Yarrowia lipolytica: one gene and its partner. The protein of the gene in region 1 purifies or fractionates together with the protein of each later gene. This does not show direct contact. Links are inferred from orthologs where the notes say so. Each region holds a gene or a part of one and is shown on either strand. Other genes may lie near its edges.

Evidence for each region.
Region 2: the proteins of YALI1_F01742g (region 1) and YALI1_E16501g purify together in Saccharomyces cerevisiae (affinity purification with western blotting; 4 studies listed by BioGRID, with this or other methods). This does not show direct contact. The link is inferred for Yarrowia lipolytica from reciprocal best matches to the Saccharomyces cerevisiae genes TSC11 and LST8.

What each region holds. Positions count from the first base shown.
Region 1 is NC_090775.1:167,566-180,262, reverse strand, and holds YALI1_F01742g (uncharacterized protein), read left to right. Parts: upstream 1-6,059; coding exon 6,060-9,566; downstream 9,567-12,697. Other genes in the region: YALI1_F01796g (uncharacterized protein), read right to left, coding at 1-601; YALI1_F01755g (uncharacterized protein), read right to left, coding at 2,117-2,350, 3,231-4,667; YALI1_F01696g (uncharacterized protein), read left to right, coding at 10,496-10,599, 10,649-12,697. UniProt on the Saccharomyces cerevisiae protein: Essential component of TORC2, which regulates cell cycle-dependent polarization of the actin-cytoskeleton and cell wall integrity.
Region 2 is NC_090774.1:1,644,308-1,654,810, reverse strand, and holds YALI1_E16501g (uncharacterized protein), read right to left. Parts: upstream 4,726-10,503; coding exon 3,709-4,725; downstream 1-3,708. Other genes in the region: YALI1_E16544g (uncharacterized protein), read right to left, coding at 21-313, 363-378; YALI1_E16531g (uncharacterized protein), read left to right, coding at 1,730-3,643; YALI1_E16493g (uncharacterized protein), read left to right, coding at 5,467-6,573; YALI1_E16451g (uncharacterized protein), read right to left, coding at 8,227-9,684. UniProt on the Saccharomyces cerevisiae protein: Essential component of both TORC1 and TORC2. TORC1 regulates multiple cellular processes to control cell growth in response to environmental signals. Nutrient limitation and environmental stress signals cause inactivation of TORC1.

The DNA of each region.
Region 1 (12,697 bases):
TGATGTTCTTCTTCCGCTCAGAAGCAATGTAGAACATGGCCTCCTTGTAGACTTTCTCGAGCACCCACATGCCGGCCACCAGGGTCCGGATGTCGAGCTTTGAGTTTTGAGAAGACTCGATCATGAAGTTGATGTATTCCCAGACAGGAGGGTGGATCTTCTCGGAGCCATGGGACGACAGAGCCTTGAGTTGATCGAGTCGACCAGAGCTGTTGGCGAGAAACTTTTCGTGCTGGGCAATGGGATCGGGATCCAGACGCTCCAGCTCGGTCATTTTGATTTGGCGCTTCTCTCCAATCTCCTCAAACTTGACCATTTCGTTCTGGGCCACCACGTAGCAGCCGGATAGCAGAGTATGGAGCTCGTCGACGAGAGGGCCGTACTTGGGCTCGACCTTGGTCCACATTGGGTCCTTTTGCAGCTTTTCCAGCTCGGTGATCATTCGGCTGACGTAGCCTCCACATCCTCCGACGTAGATATGGTCTGAGAAGAGCCAGTGGTTGAACTGCTCATCGGTAATCTCTCGTCGGCCGACTTTGACAACCCACGGAGCCTTGATGGACGCAATGTCGAATTGTTCTTGAAGATCGGGCCATTCCATGGTGAAGTGATTGATGTTTGACGGGTTTTATTGGAGAGAGAAGGGAGAGAAGGGGACTTTTTATACCCGCTATATAACTCGAAAGACTCATTAAACTTTCGGCTACCATGCAACCTAGTCATCGTTTGACTCGTCTTGAGTCATCTGTCCAATGAGGAGTGGGGTGCAGCTGCAGGAAGAAGGGAGACGAAACGACATGTTGAGAACAGCGAATGGGTCACAAAAGTTGTGTTTGTAGCTGTTTCGCGCCCCAATCGTCCAATGGGATTGTCGCATTTACCCTAACTCCGAAACTCTACATCGAAACCACCATCCACTCATGTGTACGATCTACATCAATCGATCAACGAGTCTTGGTTTGACCCAACCCCCAGTATAGATAGGAAGCAATTTTATACGCGACGAGGTTGTTTCTGATGGCAAATGAGTGGTAATTTGCACGTATATCAGTCAAGGAAACGTTCTAAATCTTCTACGCAATAGCCATTGACCTCTAGCTACTCTTTTCCAGCCTTCTCTGAGGTGTCCAGTTATCTCCAAAAAGTCGTCGAATAACCTCTCTGGCTGCGGCTACTGGAATACGAGAAGAGGGTAAGATACGAGGGAGAGGGAGAGAAAGAGAGAGAAAGGTATAGAAAGAGACAAAGAAGTTACTAGTATACCTCACTGTAACAATGTATTATGGGTACGGTACGAGTACGAGTGCGAGAACCTGTATCAGAACTCATGGTGCTAACTGAACGATTCTCTCATGAGATCATCTTTGGGTGCGGCTTTTGTCAGCTCATGTCTTCTGTAGTAACCAACTACAAGTACAGTACAGTATGTACCGATATTGTAGACCGACTGAAATGACTATCCTATCACATTTCTGTTACCAACTTCAGTTTCTTCTTCGCCCTTTATTTTTTATTTTATTTTTTTAGTTTTTTGTCATGCTTAGCACTGTAGCTACAGTACAACTACTGGCGCTACTGTAACCTAACTCCATAGACTTCATAGTTGAACTTTGTTAAGAACACAAGTCCGCTGGATGGTTTTTTTCGGAAAAAAACAAAATTCTGACGTTTTAAGAACCTCACTGCTTGGTAAAAGAGTCCATTTGGGCAACAGAATTGTTTTTAAAAAAAAAGACTAAAATAATTTATCAAAAAATGTTTGTCTTACATTTACTATTATTAAGAATGTTGAATTTGGGCAACTCCGGTGAAGTGTGTGTAGTTGTATTTTTAGTTCACTTTAGTGACAGAACTACGCAAGGTTGGAAAAGCGTCCTGAATCCACAAATTCCACCCCCAACACCTCAATTTTTGTATCATCAATTGTAGCAGAAATACATTTCAATAATTTGGATCCATACACATGTTTACCGTTTTATCTCTCGCTACAGTAGCTGAAAGGATCACCACTTCTTCATTTGTTACAAGTAGCCACGATGTGAAGAGGTCAAGGTACCATCCCAATATCTTTGAGCAACCAACATACTGTGTAGTACAAGTACAGTACCTGTCTCCTCTAGTCATCCACAATTGGAGAGGATAGCCACAATTCATTCACCAAGGAACGCAACTCTTGGGCCTCCAGATGAGACATGGCTTCACCAAGAGCGGCATCGTGCTCTTCGGAAGTATCTCGTATCTCTCGCATGTGTCTGGAGGCGTAGTTCTTAGCACGTACACTCTTCTCCTTGAAGCCCAACCGCCACATGGCTACTGTCTGGTGGATGTCCATTGGGTTCGTATCGAGGTACTGAGTTGCTAGTTGACGCAACACAAATATCTTATGATGCTCGTAGTAGGTTATCAAATTAACAGCTTCCGAGTGGTCCATCTCTGGCTCCGCGTCGTAAAAGTGCTGAGTAATGAACACCAAAGTTGAATGAGGTAGCTTAAGTAACACGAACGAGTGTCCCTTACTTCGGGCTTCAAAAAAGGCCGTTTGGAACACCTTCCATCTCAGCAGAAAGTGGAGTGGGTTCTGTATACCCATGGCTTGTCGGTCGCATTTGCTGACTAAAAGAAACTCGCGTTCTTGGAGAGGATATTGTACCAAATCGAGGCACGTGACGGGGTGGAGTTTTCGACCCATTTGGTAGAGAGATGGCGTGTTGCACGTATAACTGTACTGTAGATGATGACTTTAGAATGTGTGTATTTGACGTGATTTAGAAAAAGGGAAAAATGACGTATCGCTTGTTAAAGTACAACACGATACAGACACTCCCTCTCAGCTTAAACTGTTCCTGTTTTAGATATGTCACCGAAGAGAAAGTGTTGTGATTGCGATGTATGGGAGCTATATAAAGCACAGAGATAACCAAAGCGCTTACAATAGGATCGTTTGATCGTCCATGATACATGTTTAAGACGTCAAGAGGAGCCCCCTATTGTAGTTCCCCTTCATTGGAGTCTGTGTTTTTTCAAGTACAGTACAATATCTAATTCAACTAATATTTGGAGTATAGTTAAATACTAATCCCTTTCTCGCTACTACTACTTGTACGAGACTTTCCAGTGTGCTCGTCTGCTACTCCTTCAAACTCAACAACTGCCCCCTCCAGCGTCGTTTTCGGACCAGTGTACCATCTGTAAGCAAACAGATAATAGTACATCAAACACCCTCCCCAGACCACAGCTACAATGACACAGGTGTAATTCATTGTATCCTTAGTAGGATGGGCAGTAGTCTGTGGGAACTGGATCAGTACTAGACTGAACATCAGAAAGACGCTGGCAAAGCCCCCAATCAGCTTGGAAGGAAATCTTCCGAGATAGAAGGGGCCTGGAACGAACCGGTTCTTACCATACAGCAACTTCAGAGAAATTGGAATCAGCCATCCCAAAGAAGTTCCTCCTGCTGCCAGCGAAAACAACGCCTGAGCAGCCGCCGCGTTGATCATACACAGACATCCGATACACAGAGCCAACAGGGCACTGCCCCAGACACATCTGATTGGGTTGGAGTACTTTTGGTTGACCACTTTAAAGAAGTCGGAGAATTGCAGAGCCCCGTCTCTTGAAAAAGCCCAGGCTTGTCTCGATGCAGAAGTGACACTGGACAACCCCATAGTCCATTGTAGGATGAAGATGGCCGTCATGACTCCAATTGTCCATTTCTTTCCCAGAGTATCATACACCAATTGAGCAAAAGGTTGCTGATAGACTGTCTCAAGAAGAGGCTTGACATCGTGGGGCATAACTGCAACCAGGACAATGACGACAACAAACCCCAGAATCCAGCCTACACTGATAGACGCAATGATTCCAAATGGCACTGCCTTGGTAGCATTTGAAGCCTCTTCTGACATGTGAACACACGAGTCGAATCCTCCAATGGTCCACGAGGGAGCTAGCCAGCCCAGAAAGAAGACCCAGGCGGTGGGCCATCCGTCGGTGGTGTTTTCAATTTGTCCAAACATGTAAGAAGCGGAGTTGAGATGGTTTCGCGCGCCTATGGGAAGTGCTATGATTAAAACTAGAGCGATAGCGACATTACCATAGATACACACGGTCTGTAGCCTAGCCATATGTCTGGTTCCCATGGACCCCACGCAAGCATGAGATACTACGCAGGCTGCAAAAATGCCGTAAAGCACGTAGGCACTTGGATTCCACTGGCCGTCTGTAGCCACAATGATCATACTGACCAGCATTTGAGCAAATCCATAATCAATGGACATGAGGCCTCCAGTGAGGCCCAGGAAGCTGCTGTAGCCTGCGAGAAAGCTCAGGGGCCGTTTTGCCTTCCCAGGAGCAAAATAGTACGACCACCAGTATAGGCCTCCTGAAGTTGGTAGAGAGGAGCCGAGTTCTGCTAGAGCCAGTCCGACTGTCATGATGCATACCGAACAGGTAAACCAACCCCACACCATTCCGTATGGGCCAGCCTGGAGAGAGAAAGAGATGGTTGAGGCTATGGAGGGGATCAGGCCCATGAGTGAAAACGCAATTCCAAACACTTGAACAGTGGAGAAGTTGCGTTTCAACTCGGGCTTGTATCCAATGGTAGCAAGAATCTCCGAGTCGTTGTAATATGAGTCGGGGACTTGTTTTTCGAGTTCTGACATGGTGGGTCGTGGTAGTAAGGCTCTCGTATACATACTAAAGTGCATGTCTTCAATTATATATAGCTAGAGAAGCCAGGTCTTATCGGAAAAGTTCTGTGGACGAGTTAGAGGCTCAAGGTGTCATCATTTGGTTGTAGAGCTGATCTCCGGAAGTTACACATTGTCTATTGACATGCTAAAGTCCAGTAGCTTCGTGAGACACCCGTGCTTGTAGCGGGAGTCTGAAGTCTACCAACTGACGCAATTGGCTGTCTAGGGGACCAAAAGGATCAAAAACTCATAAATCAAGTACTAGAAATGTTTCTGTTTTTCCACTGTGGTCCCTACTACCCTCAATCACTTGGCACGATCTCCCTTCTTCATTCTATGCAACCTTGACATTGACAATTCGTGGCTGAGATCCAAAGCCACAATTAACAAGTTTTTTTCTGAAATCCGTGAACGTAGCCACAGTATACGACAGATTGCATTGTGCCACAGAGCCTCCGTGTAATCACAATCGGATCCTGCCGTGCCCCAGAACGGAACTTGAACCCGCACCCCATGACTTGAGTGCATGGATAATGCAAGTGTCTTCAGTAATCGTGTTAACTAATAAAGTGATCTGTATCAACTATCGGTTTGAATAAAGTCAACTAAATACTTTGAGTTTTAATTTGCTACTGTCGTCACTAAAGAGCCCACACACTCAGCCAAGCGTCACCATCGGTTATTTATCACGTGATTCAATGTCCTTCACACATTCTGCCATACGCTTACAACGTAATTACAGTACTTGTACCCCGGATTTACACGTCGCAAAATAAGGGGCGTCTTTTTGGGCTGGTTTGAGGAATTTAAATTTGGACATGGGCATGGATGGATGGACAGTGCGAGCACCACAGATCAGCTAAATGTGCTATCAATAGACCAGAAATTGACGGATTATCACGTGACTAACGGTTGGCTAGCCCATTAAATACATTCTGGCAACCTTTGTCGTCATTTTCTACAGTTACAATCGATTTTTGTCGTAGGTCAAATCTCTCTGAAATGCTCTCAAAACAGACAGTCTGCACCACCCAATCCCCAATCCTCCCAATGTTATTTTGACGTCATGTGCGTCATCATTCCCACCTCCCCCAAACATGTATAATGATGAAGAGGAGAGAGCTGTTAGAACACTTGTATGGTTGTTGCGGTGATAAGTGCCTGTTTAAAGGCCCCAAATATGAACAAACAAGTCTCCCCGGATTAGCCCCAGGTTTTTGCAAGCGTCCATCGCTCCGCCAATGCCCAGTAATCTGCCCCTCCTCCTTTTCCCTCTCACGTGACCCTGCATACCCACTACGCACCTAAACCATAGCTCCAGCTCCAGTATCGCGCACACAGCTAGACGGACCAACAGCCAACATGAAGCCGCCACATCTGACGGACAAGCAGTGGCGGATGGAGCTGCTGGACAAGCTGGAGATCGAGGCGAAAATCAAAGATGGCGCGGAAAACATGCTGCAGGTGCTGGACAAGAAGGAGAAGTCCAAGACGGACACTACTCGGGAGGGAATGCGGTCGCGGGTGGAGAGTGAGCTCAATGCCAGTGTGGCTCGGATAGCGCTTTTGAACGAACAATTGCGCGAGGTTCCGGTCGGCCATGATGTGCCGATACGGGGTATTCATCAGCAAAATCACATTCACACCAACAACCACATGAATGGAGGAGGAGACGGCATGGATACAGACGACACCAACAATGAGAGCCCGTCGTGGCTCATCAGCAACATTGTGCAGGCGTTGGACGACCCGGCGGTCAATGCCGACGACCTCGTGACCAAGTGCAACGAGCTGGTGAGGGTCTTCACAAGATACCCCCTGCAAAAGTACGATCTGGTCTTGTCGCATGTGGGCGACCGGATACAGCGGCTGCTGTTACACAAACGCACAGAGGTGGTGGCGGCAGGGTACAGAGTGGCACGTCATGCTCTCACGGACATTTACTCGTTGAAGACAGCCCGGGGGTTTCAGACAGATCTGTTTGTGATTCGCAGTTTGGCACGGGACAACAGGTGTCATTTTGAGCGGCTGCAGGCACTCAAATTTATTCGTGCATTCACAGACGTGCCGCAGGGAGTGGCAGAAATCAGCATTGGAGTCGTGCGAGCTATTGTCGCTGTTGCAGAACAGACTGATGACAGGCTACGTGTGGCGGCTTTAGAGACATTGGCTGAGCTGCTGGTTCTAGATTCACATCTGGTGCATAGAGCAGGAGGAGTGCGCCCATTGCTGGCGCTGTGTGTGGAGGGCCCGTTTGAGCTTGCAGCTCTAGCTACCAGAGTTCTTCTCTATACTCTTGACTCACCAACCACGCGTCACGTCTTGCAAGGAGGTAAGGATCTGGAGTTTCTAGTGTCCGTGCTCACTGAGGTGCAGCAGAAGGGTCACGTGAATCCAGAGACGTTGCGTAACTCGTGCATGGTCATTGGTGTGGTTTTGTCGTCCTGGGCAGGTCTCATGTCTTCAGAAGGAAGTTCGTTGGTGCGAGCTTTGATCCAGTGCTTGGCCCTGCCGCTGCCTCTTCTTCGAGACATTGTTTTGTCGCTTCTGTTTGATTTGTTTCGCTTAGAAGCCCCCTTTTGGTCTCATAGCTTTGTGGCAGGCAAGAAGCTCACTTCTCATGGCAAAATCGAACCCAAGGCTAACAACCGGAGGCGCCCACGGTACATTAACCACTTTCTCGCGTTACTTCTGACCGTCTTCTTCAAGGAGGGGCTTCTCAGGGAGCTCCAGCAGGTTATTACCACCAAGGAAGACGAAACCAGTACTCGAAAGGCTCTCCTTCTAGTGTCTGAGCTTCACAAACTGGCTGGAGAAGTGCTCCCACGTGAGCTCTTGAGCGAGATCGAACGACTAGAAACACTGGTTATTTCAGCCCAGGTCCAGTCGTCTTCGGGACCCAACGCTGCTGCTGCAAACGCCATTTGTGCCATTCATCGCATTGATGCCATTTCGCGTAACCAGCATAAAACCGCGGCGCTCAACTCGTCCACTACCGTCAAGGTGCAGATGGGTGTGCAGATTGATGATGCTCACTTCCGGCAGCTCATCACAGACACAAGAGTGCTGCAGACAAAAAACTACACCAAATGGAACTGGAACGTACTGTTGGAGTTGATTGAGGGCCCACTGCTGAACCCAAAGCGGCTGGAAGAAGTCACTATCAAGCACTTTTCAAAGTTTGCAAAACGACTTATGTCGTTCTACAGACCATTCAAGTACCGGTTTTCGGCTATCAAAAGGACCAAATACAACCGGAAGTACGTGGAGACCGGTTGTGCTCTGCTTAAAACGTTGTTAGCCACCCAGGAGGGAGTTGACTACTTGACTGAAAACAAGTTACTACGGCAAATGGGCGAGTGTCTGGCTCAATTGGATCCCATGAGCGGAATTATTTCTCTGGAGCCTCTCTTCTCCGCCCAGAGACTCGAATCCACACTTTCCTACGGCTACTTTGAGCTGTTGGGGACCCTTTCTCAAGACAAGAACGGTCTGGCTATGATGGAGCGATGGAGAATGTTCAACATGCTGTATCACTTGACAGACGTGCATGAACGTCAGGATCTCCTCATTCTGATCATTGGTTCGCTAGATTACACAATTCCGAACCATACCCGGATCATCCTCTCTAAGGCTCTCACTACAGGTCCTTCTCCCGTCAGACTGTTTGCCACCAAACGTCTGGGATCTCTATTGCATGTGGGAGGCTACACTCAGCCTCAATCTAGTCCCCACTGGGCCATATCTCTTCTTGTGGGCCAGCTTTATGATCCAGATGTGGAGGTGTGCAAGCTTGCTGTTCAACTTTTGCAAGAGTATTGCTCTGTGACTGAAAATGTGCCACATGTGGTCAAATGTCGGCCTGCTCTTGATCATCTGGGTGCTGTTGGAGCTCCTCTGCTCTTGCGATTTCTGTGCACCTCTTCAGGTTTCCAATATCTGCAAAAGATGGATTTCGTTGCTCTGGAGATGGACAGCTGGTTCCACGGTCAGAATGAGGCCTATGTGGGTCGAATCGAGTACTATCTTGAGCAGTGCATGGTCCCCTCATTTGGCACTGTTCTCGATCTACAAGAGAAGGACGCCAAGGACGATGCTCTGGCATCTCCTCCTCCTCATTTCTACGGCGAGCTGGCCATGACAGAAGAGGGCTGTCAACTGTTGCAGAAGCGTGGCCACTTTACAGAGTTTGCCGATTTCATTCGTGAACACGGCCTTACTGCCCAAGACAGAGACACAGTGCTCAAGCTTAAGGGTTGCTTGTGGGCTGTTGGCCATGTAGGGGCTACGGAACTTGGAGCGCCGTTCCTGGATCAGTCGGGAGTCGCAGTGGATGTGGCTAACATTGCAAAGCATTCGCCAGTGTGGTCTCTCAAGGGCACCGCTTTCTACGTGCTTGGTTTGATGGGTACTACGAACCTCGGTTCTGAGATCATCGACGAGTGTGGGTGGAACAGCACGCTTGACGTTTATGGCAATCCCAGGGGCTATGCCTTGCCATATGAGTGGGATGGGCTGTTTACGGAGAAATCTACTGTTGTTCGTACGTCACAGACAGTGCCTCCCATTCTGGAGTTGCCTAAGATTTCGTCCGATCCGATCCGACGTAAAATCATGACGGCGCTGTCGAATCTGAGTAATCATATTCTGGCCAACGATGCATCGCGCACACTCATCAAGCTGGACGCGAAGTACCACGACCGGTTCGACTCGCTTACGCTGTTTCTGGAGGTGGTAGAGCTGCTGGAGATTTATCGGTATCGGCTTCCTCAGCGGCGATTTATCTTTGAGCTATTTAACACCCCGAAGATGCTGGAGAGGAACGCCCGACGGCAGAGAGAAAGAAAGAGACGAAGCCAGAGGGATTAGATTTGCATTATTTATAATATTTATCGCATCAAGAACCAACTACATTCTAACCGCGAGCTTTGCGAGAGTGTACAGTAGATGTAGACATACAAGAACTGGTACTTGTACTGTACTGATGAAGTGACTGACCGCTGATTGTTGAAGTATTGTTCATGAAGAAAAAATCAATATTTGTTTCGGTCGATTCCTGTGTGGTTCCTGAGAAAAGTGCCTGTTCGCATTGAGATGTTTTGGTGCTATAACTCTTCAGTTCAGACTGCACAACAGAGAGACAGAAGATGATGAAACAAAGGAGACTTGCTCGAAACCCGCCATACAAGTACAAGTACTCGTAGACTAATCATATGAGTATCTCAAACTATCCATATGATTTACAACACATTCTTATATGTCATCGCCACCTCTGTGTCTCTAAGGCCATCTTCATCCTGGCCCAAGGTTCTCCGCCAACAAATTCAGTAGCTTTAGTTGAGAAACTGCCAACACCGTATTGGCCAACTAGGGCCAACTCTCTGCGAGGTGTCGCAGAAACGTAGGAGTGACGAAATCACATCGCTAGAGCATATACTGTTAATACTATAAGATAAAAAATACTTCTGTTATATTATCCTGGAAAATTCATAGTCATGCCATAAACCGTACTAGAAATACTTGAACTATTACTTAATAATTACTCCAAAAAGATTAAGCTTACTTAGCTGTCTTTCCAGCAAGCTAATGTTAGAGGCTCTTCACATTATTTTCTAAAAAGTCAAACAACTGCCATAACAACCAGGAAACACACTAAAAAACCAATGTCATTGAGCTGTTGTTCACTTCACGTGACTTTTTTCCCACCCGTGCTCTCCCAATTACCTTGGAAGCGATTCCGTCGCCACCCATCTATCAGATGGTCTTCCCTAACCCTACCACTTACACCTCCAGACGCCATGCAGCTAAATACAATTAAACCGCGTCGCGTCATGTTTCTCTCTTTTCGCACCCCGACAACGCGTCGAGTAGTATTCAACATGGCCAAGCAGCAGACGTTAAAGTGAGTATGCGAAGCGATGGACCGAGGTTGGATCACATTGTTAACGCAGTTTTTTCGGCACTAAGAGAAAGGCTTCGGAGGAGGTGGAGGATAAGAAGGTGGCTAAAGTGAAGATTGAGACGAAGACCACCAAATCTCCTGAGCCCGAGACATCCAGCAAGCAGTCGCCAAAGTCGCCTAAGAAGCAATCACCAAAGTCGTCAAACAAGGAGTTGTCAGCCTCGAAACAATTCCTCAAGTCTTCTACATCGACAAGTTCGTTACCGTCTACCAAAACCGTCTGTGCTGAAACAGCCAAGAAACTAGCTGAGGAAGGATCGGGACATACCCATGGCCCGTTGCTGTACCGAACCATTGTGGACACATTTGAAAAGATCGAAGCGACTACTAAACGGCTGGAAATCACGGCCCATTGTGCCGCTCTGTTTTTGTCGGTTCTCAAGAGCCATCCTCAGATGATGGCCACTGTGGTCTACCTATGCATCAACCGACTTGGTCCCGACTACGAGGGTCTCGAATTGGGCCTCGGAGAGTCGCTTCTGATGAAATCCATTGCCGAAAGTACCGGACGAACGCCTGCCTACGTCAAGACCGAGTACCAGAAACTCGGTGATCTGGGCAAGGTGGCCCAGTCGTCCAAGAGCAACCAGCGAGCCATGTTTAAGCCCGAACCTCTCAAGGCTGCCAACGTTTTTGATACCTTTCGAGAAATCGCCCAGACAACAGGTAAAGATTCTCAGAACGCCAAAATCAACATGATCAAACGAATGATGGGGGCCTGTCAGGGAAACGAGGCCAAGTTTATCATTCGAAGCCTGGAGGGCAAATTGCGTATTGGACTGGCTGAGAAGTCGGTGCTGGTGTCGCTTTCTCAAGCCTTTGTCACCTTTGAAGCTGAGAACAAAGGCAAGAAGGTGAACCCGGATGATATCACTGCAGGAGAAGAAATGATTCGAGATGTGTTCTGCCAGCTGCCCAACTACGCGCTCATCATCGACGCCATTCTGGAAAACGGAATCATGCGCCTTTCTGAAACTTGCAAGATTTCCACTGGTGTTCCTCTCAAGCCTATGTTGGCCAAACCCACCAAGTCTATCTCAGAGGTCCTGGATCGCTTCCAAGACACAGAATTCACTTGCGAGTACAAATACGACGGAGAACGAGCTCAGATCCATAAAACCGAGTCCGGGGAAATGTTTGTGTATTCTCGAAACTCGGAAGATATGACTGTCCGTTACCCTGACTTGGTTTCCATCATTCCCAAGTTTGCCGGAGAGGCCAAATCCTTCATTCTCGATTGCGAGGCAGTTGCCTGGGATAGAAAGCAAAACAAAATCCTGCCGTTCCAGGTTCTGTCAACTCGAAAGCGGAAGAACGTGAACGAGGAAGAAATTACTGTCAGAGTGTGTATATTCGCATTCGACATTCTGTACCTCAATGGCGAGTCTCTTTTGACCCTACCTCTTGCCGAACGACGTCAGAAACTCAAGGAGGCCTTCACTGAGGTGCCGGGCGAGTTTCTGTTTGCCAAGTCGATGGACACGTCCAATGTTGAGGAGATTCAGACATTCCTGGACCAGTCCATCAAGGACTCGTGCGAGGGACTGATGGTGAAGCTTCTGGAGGGTAAGGAGTCTGGATATGAGCCGTCCAAGCGGTCGCGAAACTGGCTCAAGGTCAAGAAGGACTACATTGACGGAATTGGCGACTCTCTGGACCTTGTTATTCTCGGAGGATACTTTGGCAAGGGCAAACGGTCTCAGTGGTATGGAGCATTCTTGTTGGGTGTGTATAATCAGGACTCGGAGGAGTTCGAGACAGTCTGCAAGACAGCCACGGGCTTCTCGGAAGAAATGCTGCAGAAGATGTACGATAAACTAAAACCCACGGTGATCGAGACCCCCCACAGTGATGTTTCGTACGACTCCACGCCTGCTAACTTGCCAGACGTGTGGTTTGATCCTTCTACTGTGATTGAGATTCTGGCGGCCGACTTGTCTCTGTCTCCGGTTTACAAAGCTGGCATTGACCAGATGGACCGAGGTATTTCACTTCGGTTCCCTCGTTTCATTCGAGTGAGAGACGACAAGGGTATTCA
Region 2 (10,503 bases), on another chromosome or scaffold:
CGATGACCCACCTGCGTCAGTCAGGCTGTCAACTGACCCGACCCTGCGGGAGGCTGAGGCGGGTATCTTCTCTGTCTGAGGGCAGTTATAGCCAGACAGGGTAGGTTGAAAGCAGATTGAGCAAGTCCAAAAATAGTGCTGTGCACGCCCTCTGCTCTCACGGTACGGTGGGAGAGAGTTTTGCTTATTTCGAGGCCGTGGTTAAAAATGGTTGTCTGAAGGGTGATATGGTGGGCTGAGTTTGATTTCTCGTTTTGAATCTGGTACGAAATAGTCACGGAACTCAGATCCGGCCCTCTGCGAAGGTCTGAGTCTGGTTGGAGAGCAATTGCGACCTGAAACGCCAATTGGGGGGGGTCCACAGACGACCGGCGCCATTTGTATCAGTCTTGGACCTTGGGACACTGTTAAGTCCGGCTCCAGTACAGTCTGTACTAGTGCTGGTAGTCTATAGGCCGTATAACGTGGACAGCAACTAGCTGTTTGGAGGTCCAACATATCTCTGGAGTTTGTGGCCAGCTGCAGGATGCCGTGTGCGACATGTGACTTGACGAATTCGGGCTCTTTGCGTCGAATCTGGAGTGTATTCAACGATACTGCTGTAAGCGGATACTGGTACCGTATGTACCGTTCTCGTACCAGTTCAAAGTGGGGAGAAAGACCCTAAACGAGGCCAACCCCAACCCATTCCACCATTGTCGCTGACGATGGTCAAGTCCCGCGATTTGGCCGACGAAGCCTTGCTCCACAGAGCCGATGCTATAACCCCCTATTTGCCTAACCTCCTTTCCGGTTCCGTCATTAGCGCCGTGGAAGCTAATCATTCACAATCCCATTGTTGTACAGTGTGTATGCACCATCTGACTGCCGATACAGGGCAATTAATTGGCTAGCGGCAATGGTGCGAAAAACTCGGAAAAAAACAAAGAAGAAAATAGAAAATCTACCATTGTGGGTAAGTAAAAGCAGTAGTTTCTACAGTGCAAATATCGACTGTATTGAGCGTTTGAGAACAGGTTTGAAGTGTGCACTTTTTTGTACAGTAGGTACTTGCACCAGAAATCTGTAGCTTATCAGATCATGAATCTCTTTCATACATCTCACTCACTCAACAGATTGAGCAGCTACAGTGTGTGCCGAGTAGCCATTGGTCCATGCTGTCGGTGTCGGTGCTACTTGTTTCGGAGTGTTTTTTTATATATATATTTACGCCCTTCGCCCCCCTCACGCCCAGATAATACCATTGTTGTGAGCTCGGGTAGCACAGTGAGTATTTTTCCACCGTATCCTAGCAACAGACTGTAATAGGCCCCATGATATCTTGTTTACAGGCCACTCTGTCTCCACCACCTCTCAACCACTCTTCTACACTTGCTCAACACTCACCTGGACACTACTTGTACCTAAGTAGCTAACACACACACACACACCAACGATACACGTGATCTTCTAGTTGAAGCTACAAGTAGTGCGCCTTATCGTGACCTTGTGTTTGTGTCTCCTCCCCGCACTCTGGACACCTTACACGGCCACAGACTCATATCATAGTCTTCTGATACCTAACCACACAAACTGCACCATACCCTTCGGAACCGCATCATTTCCGACACCCTTCGCTGATACCACCTAGATACCATTCGGATACCCCCCGGATACTACACAGATACCACCCGATACCACATAACACACACAACCCAATCAAACACCAACGTTGGTAGCCCTGTGCCCAATGGCACCTCTAAAAATCTTCAAGGCTGGGGAAGGACCCGCCAAACGAGGGCTTGTGTCGTGCTCTTATTACTCCACAGGAGATGTCATTTGCTCGTTTGAACCTGCCGTCAACGTCCCTCTCTCCGGACGACTTCTGGTAGGTGGAGACGCAGACGGAACTATCGAGGTGGAGCAGGAGGCACGTCTCGACCCCACTACAGGCGTTTGTGCCTTTTGTCTTGAAACATACCCCGCCAGAAACATCACCATTTGTCAGGACTGCAAGCTCATGTCCTATTGCTCGCAGAGGTGTCTCGAAGCGGACACCTTGCATTCTCCCGAATGTACAGATCTCTGTGGGCCCCAAAAACTGATCATGTCCGGATTCCTACGTGCTCTGTACCGGATTTTATGCATGGCAGAGCAGCCCCGTCCTCGCAACACTTACGCCCAGCTCACCCACCACACCACCGATACCTCCTGGCCTGCCATGGATACCCTTCGAATGGCAGCTGAAGCTCTGGTCTCCAGAAACGCCTCTCGCGGTCACCCGCTTGAACAGATTCTTGAGTACGCAGGTATGCTCTTCGTCAACCAATACACTCGATGTGACGATCTAGGGCGACAGGGAGGGTACATCTTCGATCCTACTCTTGCTCTGATCAACCACAGCTGTGTTCCCAACGCGTACTTGCTCTTTAGAGGCAGAAAGGTACATCTCGTGTGCTGGAAACCTATTAACGACGGCGACGAAGTGTTCCTATCGTACACCCGGTTCATGCACCCTACCCCGGAACGGCGTACTCTGTTGTATATGCATTTCCGCTTCTGGTGCGAGTGCCCAGGTTGTGTGTCGCAGGAGCTGGAGTACCCTTACAGTCACGTCGTGTGCACCCAGTGCGGGACTGGAGTCAACAGAGATCCGTTCACATTGCTGAATCCTCCTACTTTGGATCAATGTCTCAGGCACCTGATGGATGGTGTCACCGAGGCCATTTCTGTGCGGAACTCCGTCGATCTCTTGCCTTCGGCACGTTTGCTTGTCTGCGAATGTGAGAACAAGGTGTCTGGAGACGTCATCCAGGCCATGTTGACATTGATGACCCATTCGGTGGAGTATTTTGATAACGCCAACTTCAAAAAGGTCCTGGGCATGGTTCTTGCTCACGTTTGCACTCTTGAGGGTAATGCTAAGACGGAAAAGTGTCTGACAGTTGTCGAAGAAGTGACCCAATCCAAGTTGCTTACCATGCAACTATGTCTTCGATTGATGGTTCAGGCACAAGTTCTACCTATTGATTCTCATATCATGACCTTTTTGGTGACGCTAAGAAACCTACATCAACTTCAAGACGAAGCAGAGATCCCCGATTGGGAGCGACTGCCTCACTTGAAGTCCACCATTGCCGTAGCACTATTGGAGGCGTTGGTGGAGTTGCGGTACTGCAGAGTTCAGATGTCGTCATACAACCCCGTTGTTTCCATCAGCCTTTTTATGCTCGGCAACTACCTGCGAATTCTTGCCGGTGATATTGCTGAGTCCAGGGAGAACGACTTCCTTTCGGACGACGATTTGGAGTCCATTGTGAATCTCGCCTACGCCTTTTTTTCGTCTGCTCACGAGAATCTCAGCTTCACACATCCTGCAAGCCCCTACGTTGAGCAGACCATGATCTGTGGCGATCTTGTGAGAAAGGACCATGACAATCTGGAGCTTGACGCGAATCTCGTGGTCAGTAAGCATGGTCTTGACCACGACATGTCTGTTCTGTGCGGCTTCCTCTACGAATATCTTGCTCATGACGGGCTTCTTGCTGACGGATCTTTCCCCCAGTCCATCCATATTTTGGATGTGAGTCCTGAGGTGGAAATGATCAAGGGCAAACTGGAGTTTTGGTACCGCCCCATGTCTTCTCCTCCTGTTACTGTGTGATTAAAGCACATGAAGATGAAAGATATACATAGATATATAATAAAATACATAAGCTGGTTAGTAGACTAAACATCATTGAGGGCGACCGAAAGTGCGCCCTTGTGGTGGCCACTGTATTGTCTGATGATTTGCCCAGATGCCAATTCCCACAGCCGCACGTAATGGTCTGAGCTTGCGGTGACAAGGTATGCCGAGTCAGCACTGAATGCGCAATCCCACACCCATCGCTGGTGTCCTGTGAGAGTAGTTTCCAACGAGAATCCATTTTTGATGGACCAGATTCGGGCCGTGTTATCTGCGGAGCAGGTGGCCAGGTGCTTGACGTCTGGAGATAGCAGCACCTTGGTGATATACTTTGAGTGAGATCTGAATTTGGTAATGGGATGCAGAGAAGTCACGTCGCGGGTGTTGTGCATTTTCCACACGTAGCAGTTGCCCTTGTTATTTCCGGCCACCAACATTGATCCATCCGACGCCACAGACACTGATCGTACAGGCACGTCTTCTTCGGGGATCAGTTGGTGAGTGCATGTGTTTTCGCCGAGGTCCCAGATTCGAATGTTTCCCTCCTGGTCGCACGAGATGATTTCTCCTTGGTTGGGGTGGATCACCACATCGTTAACGGGGCATCTATGCTTGTAGTTTCTCTGGACTGTGGCGGTCCGCATATCCCAGACCTTGACTGTTCCATCTTCCGACGAAGTGACCATCCATTTGCCATCGTACTGGAATGCCAATGCCGTCACGTTGCCTGTGTGTCCCTCAAAGGTCATGACCGCCTTGGGGTTGTTACTTCGAATGTCGTACAGCCGCACTGTGTTGCCTCCTGCTGCTGCCAGATACCTCTTGTCTGGCGTGATTGCCAGTCTGTTGACCTGCGAATCAGGATGCTGGATGGTTCGCGAGCAGATTCCACTCAATGCCTCCCAGAACTTGATGGTGTTATCGTAACTCGACGAGCACAAAATCACAGACATGTCCGACTCGGCTGCCGCGGCCTGCTGCTGGGGTTGGACCTGGCCCTGGGGCTGCGCCGGTGGCTGCTGAGGCTGCGCGGATGCTTGATTTGTTTCCGAACCCATGGATTCAACCTGTTTCGTGCTGCTCGAGATATCACGGACTAAACGGCATATTGGGAGCGGCGAGATTAAGCTATGGTCACGTGAGGTGGACCTCTCTCTTCCCCCCCCCCCAGAAATCAGCCAAATCAGGACTACCCTAACCCTGATAAAAAATATGGAAATTCGAAGGTACTCATTTGAGATCGTCAATTGAGGAAAATTGGGTCTGTTTAGCGGCCAGAGCGATCCATTGGCTGAGTTTGCGGGTTTTTCCGTGGATTTTTTTCGTCTTTTTTTTTTGGCCTTGCGCGGTTCATGTATTAATATTGCCCTGCCTGACACACACGCCTGCAAGTACAGTAGCTACGCTACGTACACTTTAACACCGAGAGGAGGAGGTATGGGTGGCGAGGGGAACGCTCAATTGGTAAGAATTTCTCTCTACGTGCGCGCGCTCCGACATCCTGTCTGTCACGTGACTTTTCCCTCTTTTTTCTGTAGCTATTCTATTGCGCTAAGTATATATATATCACACTCACAGCCAAACTGCCGCCTTGGAATTTAGCTCTGTCGTGGTCCCAATTGCCAACCTTATCGCGGCGAAGACGCTGGAAGGTTCACAACCAATCTCGAAGGCTCCAGAAGAGTCGAGTGCGAATAGGCTCTGAGCAATACTTAAGGCGGGTGGTCAGCACTTTTTTTGCGGGCTCTTGTAACGCACGACATAGGTTACTACACCCATACATTTTCACAAGCGATACTATGGTGAAAGAAACAAAGCTCTACGACGACCTCGGGGTGTCTTCTGGCGCCAGCGAGGCGGACATCAAAAAGGCGTACCGAAAGGCTGCTCTCAAGTACCATCCTGACAAGCCCGGAGGAAATGAGGAGAAGTTCAAGCAGATTTCCGAGGCGTACGACATTCTGTCAGACAAGGAGAAGCGAGAGCTCTACGACCAGTATGGTCTAGAGGCTGCTCGAAAAGGAGGAGTTCCCATGCCCGAACCCGGCCAAGGAGGCGGGTTTCCGGGCGGAGGCGGGTTTCCCGGCGGCGCCGGAGGTTTCCCCGGAGGTGGCTTCTCTAGTGGAGGAGGCGGTGGTGGCCCTCAGACTTTCCACTTCTCTTCTGGTGGCGGTGGTCCGGGTGGCTTCGGTGGTTTCTCGTCTGGCGACGCCTTCAACATCTTCAACTCATTCGGACAGCAGGGCGGATTCGACGATGAGGGAGACGACTACGGAGGATTCGCCAACCTCTTTGGCGGACGTGCTGGCCGCCGTGCAGGAGGCATGGGTGGCGGCATGGGCGGTATGGGAGGCATGCCGCGCCAGAGGGCCCGATCGCCCGAGCGAACACAGGTGACAGTCAAGATGCCCGTGTCTTTGGAGGACCTGTGCACCGGTGCCACCAAGAAAATGAAGATCACCCGAAAGGGCCCCAGTGGCCAGCCCGAAGAGAAGGTGCTGACCGTCAACATCAAGCCCGGCTGGAAGGCAGGCACCAAGCTCACCTTTGCTGGCGAGGGAGACTCTCAGCCCAACGGTGGCCAGCAGGATGTGGTGTTTGTCATTGAGCAGAAGCCCAACCCCGTGTTTACTCGAGACGGTGATGATCTCAAAATGTCCATCAAGCTGTCTCTCAAGGAGGCTCTGTGTGGATTCACCAAGATCATTGAGACCCTGGAGGGCAAGAAGCTCAAGATTGAGCAGCGTCTGCCCATCAACCCCGGCCACATTATCACCTACCCCAACTATGGTATGCCCATTTCCAAGAAGCCTGGTGAGCGTGGTCAGTTGATCATCACCATCAAGGTGGACTTCCCCAGCTCGTTGACCGACGCCCAGCGAAAGGCCATTGAGGACAACTTTTAATAGACTAACTTATTGTACATAGAGTGCAAGAGCATTCACATGTAAGAATTAATAAATGATAGCATGATCATGGAGACAATTGTACGTGTGCATGAACAACTCATTACTGCAGCCTTAGTGCAACTCTAAGGATGATTTAGTTGGTGAGGTTTGGCGGGTGTAAAGAGGACATGGAGGTGTTTATAGGGATCAGGGGGAGGTTTGGAGGGTAGGAAAACATGTAGAATGTCTTTTAACGTCCAATTGAGCTGATGGGACTTCTGAGCGCCTTCATTTGGGGCTTCTGACGGCTCTGCTGAAGAAGTTGGTATTGTGCTGTCGACGACATTTTGAAGGCTTTTTAGCATAATTAGCAAACTAAATGTGCAATCGACGTGGGCAGATAAGCGGTGACGTTTGGAGGGCATTTTTCATGTACATGTACAATCACGTCGACGGCCCGTCAAGTGTTCAGAGGGATTATCGTCTTGTACGAGGCATGTGGGTTCTGGATGTGGGTTCTGGAACATTCTAGAATCTGTCGAGTTGAACGAATCTGTCGAGTTCAGCGAATCTGTCGAGTTCAGCGAATCTGTCGAATTCAACAGAAGAGCATTGTGACACAACTTCTTGCAAGCTGATGTGTGATTTGACGACGAGTGGCTGTTTGCATTGGTGTACTAGGGATGTTTGTACATTGTGCTTTACGGTACGAGTACGAGTAGTGTAGTTATGAGAACTTTTTTCATCGACTTTACATCTCCTACAGAACTGAGGTCAAGAAGATGGGTTGGTTAGAGTGGGAAATAGAGGTTCATCTTCAGGTGGTGGTCGTGGACGCATCTTCAGGTCGTAGAGACATCTTAACATCACGAAGATACAGTAGTTATTGCTGGTACGCACCTGTACCGATACTAGAAGCCTGTGCTCTGAGCTCGTCCAAGTGGGCTGTGAACATGCCTCCGGAGAGGGAGCTTGGGTGACAATTACTGTTACAGCCGAGCCAGTTGACCAAGTAGCCTCCGTACTTACCAACGTTGTCTCATTTGATCAGGGAGGCGACGCAGGTGTTGCGAATCCATCGGGTGTGCTCCTCGAGCGACAACGCTGGTCGGAAGCCATGTCGCCACAGCGCTTGAAGTTTTTCACATGGCTGAAGTTCTTCAGGCTGACGGTCAAGGGAAATGCCACGCTCATCCAGAGCTTGGAGCCACTCGGGGTCGATATCCGGGTAGCCCGATAGATGGTCAATCTGAGTACGTAAGTTGGATGGAACGAAGAAGCCTTTGACCAGCTTCTTGGCCCAGGTTGGTTGGCCATAACTTCTCTGTTGTTTACACTGCCATGCTCTCCGTGAAACCGCCTTCTGTTAACAGTTGGGTATTCAATCAGACGGTATTCAAGGGGTGTCACATCATCAACTGTACGCATACTCGCAGTCAACTTTCTCAACATGATTTTTTCGTCCACATACCACCTCTTGTCTCTGTAGGCCTCATACCGCGTGATGAGCCTAGCTTCAATACAGAACCAGAATCCATACAAATCTTAGCCATCTTCTACTGCCACTCTTCTTTAGTATTCACACTGACAATCTACCCTTCCACTCTTCAGTCCAAGCCACTTTGCACCTTTTTGTCGGAACCAAATAATAACATAATTTACATGCAGACACTAATCCTTGCTCTTCTTCTTCTTCTTCTTCTTCTCGCCCTCGTCGTCGGAGTCCTCGGCCTTTCGCTTCTTCTCCTTCTTCTCCTTCTTTTCCTTCTTTTCCTTCTTGTCCTTCTTGTCCTTCTTTTCCTTCTTCTTCTCCTTCTTGTCCTCCTCCTCATCGTCAGAGTCGGCGGCCATGGAGACATCAGCCTCGACCTCCTTCTTGGGGGCCTCGACAGCAATGGTCTCGGTCACAGAAGCGACAACGGGCTTGGTGACGGGCTCGTCCTCAGTGTGGTCCACGTAGCTCTTCTTCCAATCGGCAGGAGTGCTCTCGTTGGGTCGACCGTACTTGTCGAGCTTACCGTCGGCCTTGAGCTTCTTCTTCTCGGTAGCAACGGGTCCCAATCCCCATCGTCGGGGGTAGGTGTCTCGCTCCATGATGCATCGCTTGATTCGAGACACGACACCGTGGTCGCAGGAAGCAAGGTCGACGGTGGTCATCTGGGCAATACCAAGAGCAATGGCCTCACCCTTGGTGGTGATGAGCACAATCTCGTCCTCCAGCTCAATGCCCTCCTCGTATCGGAGAACACCGGGAAGCATGAGCTTGGCGCCGTAACAGATGGAGTTGACGGCGGAGTCCTTGACTACAATTCGCTTGTAGCCGAGCAGCAGAGACTCAAGGGGTCGGATGCATCGTCGCAGGTACGACTCGTCCTTGGTGTTGTCGTAGAGCCACTGGGCATCGAGAATGTCGTGCAAGGTGACCATTCCGTCGGACTCGTCGAGAGCACCGGATCGCACTCGTCGCAGCTCCTGCATGTGGCCTCCAACACCGAGCAGCATACCCAGATGCACACACAGGGTTCGCATGTAGGTACCGGCCTCACAGGAGGCCCAGAAGACACCGAGGTGTCGGTCGTTGTCAAACTCAAGCAGCTTGGAGTCGTAGATGGTTCGGACTCGCAGCTGTCGCTTGACGGCGGAAATGAGAGGAGGTCGCTGGAACAGGGCTCCAGTGAGGTTCTCGAGGCCACGGGCCATCTCCTTCTCGTCCTCAAGAGCATCGTGGAGTCGCACGATACACACGTACTCCTTTCCGGCTCCCTGCTGGGACTTGACCAGACGGGTGGCTCGGTCGATGCACACAATCAGACATCCAGTAACCTTGGGATCCAGAGTACCAGAGTGACCGGTCTTCTCGCATCGCAGGATTCGCTTGATCCAGGCAACAACCTCATGGGAAGAGGGGTTGGAGGGCTTGTCGAGGTTGATGACACCGGAAGCAATGTACGACTTGAGGTCTCGCTTCAGAGGAGAACATCCGGTGGGGATGGGGGTGTAGTGACCGGACCGCACAAGCAGCTTGTCGTAGTTCTTGAGCAAAAGGGGCCACTCAGAGGTGTCGGCCGAGGGGCCAACATTCTCGGGCTTGATGAGATAGTCGGTTTGTTCCTGAACAACAGCAGACATGTCGATAGTGTTGCTAGGTCGATATGTAGGAGAAGCTCTCAATGTGAGTTTCAATTTTTTTTTCACTGCGCAGAATTTTTGTACTTTGGGTTTGGATTAGGGGAGCGGCCAGGATTGGGACGAGTCCTTCTGCATTAGGGTATGGGGTTAGGGTGGCGGTTAGGGTACCGGGGAGATATATTCTGGTCATTCACTTGACAAGGTGGTTTGTGGGTGTGTGACGTGGGTTTGGAGGTGTTTTGGCCGGTATTTTGATGCTCGATCTACGTTTATTGTACTTATATCGCCACAAATCAGTGACTGCGTTGCGTGAGCTAGATTGTAGGCATATAGGCAATTGGAGTGTCGTATGGAGTGTGACAACATAAACAGTACAAATACAGGTATATATAGGTACGTGGTCATGGCAGCATCTCCATGGCCCGGATGTTCAAACCCCGGCCACACTTTGCTGACACTCACTGAAAGGGCTCATGGCTGGGTTGCCCATCACTTCAAGACTGCTCTGAACTTAAGGTTCTAGGATGCGTCAAGATGGTGAATGGTGGGTGAAGGGGGAGTCAGTTCAGGTGCTCTTACGAGGTATTTATCGACGAAGGGTGAGTAAGGTCACGTATTATATCACCAGTTCGAGTTATATGCTCGTATCTCGATTATTAAGCGACTGAGGAGAGTGTTGTGGCATTTGGCAACTGGACAAGTTTGTGAGGATTCGTACTTACAGTAGAAGCGGTATGGGAGCTGAGAGGTGAATGGAAGGGGTCCAGAAGAGACCATTTTTGTATGACAATGGGGGGCGAAGAAGACATAGATAGGAAG